Caenorhabditis elegans: one gene and its partner. The protein of the gene in region 2 purifies or fractionates together with the protein of the main gene of each other region. This does not show direct contact. Each region holds a gene or a part of one and is shown on either strand. Other genes may lie near its edges. The genes, in order: Y54E5A.5 and F35D11.4.

Evidence for each region.
Region 1: the proteins of F35D11.4 (region 2) and Y54E5A.5 fractionate together in Caenorhabditis elegans (co-fractionation; one large-scale study listed by BioGRID). This does not show direct contact.

What each region holds. Positions count from the first base shown.
Region 1 is NC_003279.8:14,706,553-14,710,185, reverse strand, and holds Y54E5A.5 (Polysaccharide biosynthesis domain-containing protein), read left to right. Parts: upstream 1-2,310; 5' UTR 2,311-2,318; coding exon 2,319-2,678; intron 2,679-2,918; coding exon 2,919-3,020; 3' UTR 3,021-3,127; downstream 3,128-3,633. Other genes in the region: dus-2 (DRBM domain-containing protein), read left to right, coding at 755-1,076, 1,493-1,584, 1,627-1,897.
Region 2 is NC_003280.10:4,601,762-4,604,874, reverse strand, and holds F35D11.4 (CYTH domain-containing protein), read right to left. Parts: upstream 1,449-3,113; 5' UTR 1,442-1,448; coding exon 1,344-1,441; intron 1,287-1,343; coding exon 1,217-1,286; intron 1,166-1,216; coding exon 809-1,165; 3' UTR 714-808; downstream 1-713. Other genes in the region: coa-3 (Cytochrome c oxidase assembly factor 3), read left to right, coding at 2,242-2,358, 2,997-3,083.

The DNA of each region.
Region 1 (3,633 bases), on a different chromosome or scaffold from region 2:
GGGTTTTAACCGGAAAATTCGAAAAAAATCCGGATTTCAGTTTGAAAATTTTTTTTAGAAGATTTTTGATTTTTAATCAAATAAAATCATTAAAAAATATTTAAAAAAAATAGATTTTCCAGTTCTAAAATAGCAGTTTGTCGATTTACGCAGAAATTGTGTACTCCACGAGGAGAAAAGATTTTTTAAAGTTGAAAAAAATTATCCACGCGGAGTACACGAGAGCTTTGTGCATTGCGTATTTTTAAAACTACCGTATCTCTTTAAAATTGAAGAGTTTTATAAATATTATTGGAACACAAAAATGCGTATCAAGCAACATATTTGACGCGCAAAGTATCTCATAGCGAAAACTGCAGTAGTCATCCAAAGGATTACTGTAGAAGATATTTTGCGCGTCAGATATGTTGCGCATTACGCATTCTCAGAGTTTTTGTGCTCCCGTAATTTTTTCAGTGAAAATTGAAAAATCGAAAATCGAAATTTTTTCGATTTTTCGATACTCTGTAAAATCGAAAAATAATTTCAAAAAATTAACCATAAAATATGACTTTTTTATATAATTTTGCTTATATTTGTAAGAAAAAAACATACAAATTTCTTCTAAAAAGAAGAATAATGGCAAAATATTAAGCTAATATTTGAAAAATCTAAATTTTTTGCGAAAAATAGGAAAATCGAAAAACCGACACCCTTGCCCGTAATAGAAAACATCGCAAAAATCAATTAAACAATTAATATATACATTTTTCAGCGGTCTCTCCGACGAAATCGAGCAATATTCAGATTTTGAGAAATATCAGCTGTTAACCGAGACAAGTAGTACAATGATTGCCAGAAAAGCCCTCTCAACTCCGTCAATTTTCCGTCGGGAAGGATGTTTAGATAAATACGAAGATATTCGAAATTTTCTGGAACTCGCGTGCCAATACGACGAGTCTTACACTATGACAAAATACGTTGTTCAACGGATTCTGGGCGCCGATCAGGAATATGATCCACGTGGAAAGGCGACGGTTGCCGCCGGAAGTGTACTGCAGATTTGTAAAGCGTTTGGAATGGAGGATGTATATGATGTACGGGATTATATCTGAAAATCCGGCAATTTTCGCACTGAAAATGTGTGGAAAACACATTGAAAATCACAAAAATTCACTTGAAAATCCAATTTTATTTGAAAAATTTGATGAAAATCACAAAAAGTTAAAAGAAAAACAATATTTTCATGTATTTTCAATGGAAAATCCAAAATCCAATTTTCGTGGCTTAAATTGACTTTTCCAGTCATTTTTTGCCCTAAAATTCAATTTTCACCCAGAAAATATGCCGGAAATCGAACAAAAATTGATTTTCAAAGAATTATTCAGCTTTTCAGTTGAAAAAAAAACGTAAAACAGCAATTTTAGCGTCGAAAATTGGATTTTTCCCACTGTTCTGCAACTTTTTGCTCGAAAATTACACAAAAAATTACGGAAAAATTGGAAATTTTCAGAAATGGCGAGATGAACGAAAGAAGAAACAGAGTAAGAAGCGAGCTCGTGTTGACGATGACGGTGTTTATAATATTGAAGTCTCATTTCCATTGTAAGAATTCCTCCTAAACAAAAAACCATTAATTTTCTGCAGAAAACGCCTGAAAAACTCGGTCGGCTTCTCGCCAACGCCCAAAATGGTGCTTCACGACTATTGTGTGGAGACGAAGATCCCAAAAGCCACGTATGAGGTCGTAAAACGAGATGATAAGCGATTCGTGGCGACGGCGTGTATTGGTGACAAGAAATATCGATCAGGAATTGGACAACCGAATTTAAGAATGGCTGAGCAGGTCGCCGCGCTCGCAGCCTTACATGGAATGAATATTCGGAATCTTTTGGTTGGAAATTGGGAAGAAGAATGATGTTAAATTTGTTTTTTGCTATTTTTTTGTTAAATTATATTGAAAAATTGTTTGTTTTTGCTATAATTTGCATTTAAAATCGGTTTTATTCCATTAATTATCGAATCCCCACTGCGCGCGCGGGGATGGCAAAACGCCGTGCGGCAGTTGCAAATGGGCGGAGTTTGGAGAATTTAAAAAATATTCGAATTTATTTCGCAATTTTTAGAGATTTTCAGGCTTTTTTCAGAGTTTTCATGCGTAATTTTCACTTTAAAATGTTATTTAAGTGTGTAGGATTATAGAAATGTAATTTAATTCCGCAAATTTTGTTGAAAAACTTGGATTTTTGCAATTTTTGCAGATTTTTACATGATTTTCTTCTAATTCTCCTGTTTCAAGTCAATTTTCTCTCTAATTTTCCAAATTTTCAGGTAACAAAATGACTGACTACGGAGATGCTGATAAATACGTCAACGACGAATCGATCGAGATGGCTTGGGCGATCAAAGCCGGCGAACGGTCCGAAGTTCACATGAATCTGATAATGCGGTGTGACACTCGGGTTCTTCGGCTCAACAAGCATCAGGATGCGATTCTCGCCGCATTTCGAAGCTCATTCCCCGATTTGAATGTGGAGGAGGTGACGACGAGTTTGCTGAAAGACGGCGGAGCCAAGGAGACATGGCGCGAGTTTTGTGAGCAATTCAAGGATATCGTCGACGATTATTCAATGGGAACACTGATGAGAATTCATGCTTCGAAGGCTTACAGTCCGGAAAATACTGTGGTTGTTCCAAGAGTTAGTGGGACCCAAATTGGAAATTTTTGTGATTTTCAGCATGATTTGTAGCTAGAAATTGCAGTTTTTGCGTTTTTAGCCCAGTTTTTAGCTAGAAAACTCAGATTTTGTGATTTTCGGCATGATTTGTTGCTGGAAATTGCAGTTTTTAGCTTAAATTTTTGGGAAAACTTCAATTTCCAGCCAAAAACCCCTCATCCCTCATTTTCCCATACAAAATCGATCGATAATTAATTACAGATCATCTACCTGGCAATCGAGATGGCACGCAACGTGGAGGGTGTCAACGAGAAGAATAAGGAGGCATACACGGCTCACCGCAATTCGCTCGCCTCCTTGTAATAATTTCTCTCGTTTTTTTTTTTGAATTTTTGTTGATTTTTCCCCGTTTTCTCGTTTTCCACCCTGTCGTTTGTCTTGTAGTTTGCATATAAACCGATTTCTTCGTTTTTAAAAATGATTTATTTCCAATTTCTCGAGTTTTCCAGCTCTTTTTACTTATATTTTTGTTTATTTTTTTTCCAAAAATTGATTTTCAGATATTTTTCTCTAAGAAATGTCGATTTTGATGAATTTTTCTGTGCTAAAATTGACTTTTCAAAATTTTCTCATAGACACGTGGGATAAATGCCCTAAAACTCAATTTTAGCCTGAATAATTCGTGATTTTTGATAATTTTTCATCGGAAATCGAATGTTGGATGCTAAAAACGTTTCTTTGGCAATTTTCGAATCCCCACCGTTTTTTCTCCATTAAAATCTGGATAAGCATCTCAAAATTCATGAAAAATCACTTTTTCTGTTAAAAAGTGTTTTCTGTGATTTCTGAGCGAAATTGTCAAAAAAAAAAAGTGATTTTCGCTTCGAAAATTCGAATTCCCGAAGGAAAAACCATCAAAAACCTCTGTTTTTGAATAGAAAATGTCTAAAAATCAATAATTTCCCAATTTCTTTTC
Region 2 (3,113 bases):
CAAAAATGTTTTAAAACAAAAAAGTTTCGGGAAATTCGATTTTTGTATTGGAATTCAAGAAAAACCACCAATTTTATATCTAAAACACAGAATTCTCAAATTTTAGCATTTTAAACGTAGAAATTCAGATTCAAGCTTGGTTTTTCAGACAATTTCAGTGTCATTCTGTCGTAATATTGGGGGCATTGGTTGTATTCGCGTACTTTTGGGGATACAGTACACAGATAATTGGAAAATTAGAAATCGCGGGAACGTGAATCAAAGCTGCACACAATTATTTAGGGTAAAACTAGTTAAAATAACATAAAAATAGTGAGAATTGATGAAAAAATATCTCTGAACTAAAATTTCCTCTTTATTTCTTTTCAAAAAGTCATAATCAACATCGGCATCAGTTATTCATTATTTGTTTCCGTTCTTTTTCCACTCTCCGGCTTCCAAATTCGCACATTAATCGAGTGAGTGAAGCGTTTTTCTCATTGTCTGAGCCTCTCTGTTTCAACGAAATTTTAGGAAAACGACAGAGAGAGACAGAGAGAGAGAGAAAAAAAATAAAATAAAATCGAAAAGCTGAAATGACATTTCTATTGATAAGGTTTTCGATAAAAGGAAGGAGAAAAATACAAAAAATGATGTCAGATTTTTGAAGTAATTGTTTTTTGTTGTTGTGGAGATTAGCGATTATGATCCTGCAAGATTAAATATAAAACTTTCTGATGCATAAACTTTTATGTATCCGCAATAACAACATATAACCGAGAGCTATTGAAAAAAAAAAAAATTCAAATTTAACAAATAATTGAAGCCTTCAAGCCTTCAACATATCCATATAGGCACCAGTGAGCAAATCGGTCTCTGGCACGGCGAGCAGCTCCCGAATCTCATGAGCTATCTTCTCTCCGTGCTCTGGAGTCTCTTCAGGCGACAGGCACACTTCCAACTCCATAAAATCACCGAGCCCATCGACGCGATCAATATGAATTCGTGTTTGACCGTGGAGCACCAGAGTTCTCGTCTTTTTCACCTCTCCTTTGACTCCCATTGAGGATTGGAGGGAGAGCTTCAGAGCATCAAGAACTTCAGATGGAACGTCGAATTTGTTGAAATTACTGAGCTTCGGGCCAGCCACGTCAGATCTATCGTACCAAATAAGCTCTGTGTGGGCCTGAAAAATCAAAATTTTAATTTTAAAGTAAAAAAGAAAACTATTATTTACCACTCCGTTCTCCTCAACGCTTCTCATCTTCAGGCGGCCATTCGGTGACTCGTAAAAGATGTCATGCTGCCTATAATAAAACATTTTTATGATTGATTTCCAATAAAACTATTCTGATTCAACTCACTTCAAGATAGTCGGCTGTTTTCCGGAAATTTCCACGGCGCGGCGAACCGTCTCATCGAGATTTTGAACTTTTGCCTTGATTTCCACGTTTCTCGACATCGTATTGCTGAAAAATGTCTTAATTAGTGGTGTATTTTGTAAATATAATCCACTTAAAAGGAAAAGGCTTCGAATAATTTCGAATAATTCGAGAAAAGAGTGATTTTGAATTCATTGTCACTGAAAACTGATAAAAAAGTTTGAGAGTTCAAACGCTCAAAAGTTCGCGGGCAACTGCGGCCGCGAGGGTTTTCTCGTCCACCTCGTGTGTACTCCTCTTGGAAGTAGCGCCAGGGAAACAAAAACAATGAAATGCTTTTTCGTCCTGCTTTTCCATCGGATTTCCTCGATTTGTACTGATTTTTTTAATTTTTTTTCCAATTATTCAATGAATTTAGTCAATTTATTTTTAAAAATGTTTGAATATTTACATTAAATCAGTGATTTTCTGTCCGAAGCTCATTTCACACGAGTGCGAGACTTCTAAAGCAAACATGCCCCCGAATTTGTTTCGTTTTCACGTTCGATACGCGGAAGTGAAAGAAAATTATTGATTTTTCTGTCAGAAAATTATAGGAATTATGAAATTCATGAAAAAAACCGAATACTTTCACCTTTTCCCTACACTTTTCTCCTCTAAAGATCGTGTCTTCTGATATAAAATGCCATTCACTCATCCATTTCTCCTCTTTCTTTTTATCCTTTTCATAAAGTTTTCAGTACACATTTCCCCATTTCATATGAAAATCAATATAAATCTCATGCCGCTGCTTCAAACATTTTCCCTTGATATTTGAACACCTTGTGATATTGACAACAATAATGCAATTTAATCGAAAAAAAAAATAAATAAATATCAGATGCTCGCTGTGCTCAATTGCCGGACACTGGCATTCCGAAGGCTTGTCAGCACGAGCCGTCTAGCTGCCACAAAGGAAAAATTGCCGACGGAGACGACGAAGTTCTCACAAATTGAAGTGAGTTTTTTTAAATTTTTTGGAGTGTTTTTTCGTCTGGAAAAGCCTAAAATTCGTGAAATTCATCGATCCAAGATTCGATTTTAGTTCAAAAAATCAACAAAAAAAAGTAAAGTTTGGAATATAATCTAAACAATTTTGCTCTGCCAGCTTCGCATCTGGTTTTGTTTTCCTTTAGTTTGGAGATAAATTTAGATTTAATTTAGTTTATATTTAAGTTGTAGAGTTTAGAGGTTATTTTTCTAGGCTTAAAAAATTATTTTTCAATTAATTTTTAAATTTTCGTGTTTTTTTTTTCAATTTTTTTTGTTGTAATATTCAGACAGTTTTTTTTGCAATTTCAGACTTTTTTTCCTTCAAAAAAATTTTCAAAATATTAAATAATCGATTTCCAGGCCAGTTTTGAAGTTTCAGCGAATATTTCAAGTTCTACAACTGAAAAAAAGACTTGATCCCCGAAAAAAACAGCTAAAACTCTGAAATTAGCCTAATAATCTATAATATACCATTTTCCAAGGATTTGTTAACGGAAAATGATTGAAAACCGTGAATTTATCCGGAAAAGCCGAAAATTTGCAAAAAAAGTGTTTTTTTTTTTTTTGGATACAAAATCTATAAAAAAAGCTAAATTTTTCCAGAAAAAGAAGGACAATGAGATGCTGGAAACAATCGATATTGAGGATCTACCACGACCACAGAAACGGTTCGCCAAGCAGTTTGAGAAGGTTTTTTTAAAATTAATTTTTTCCTCAATT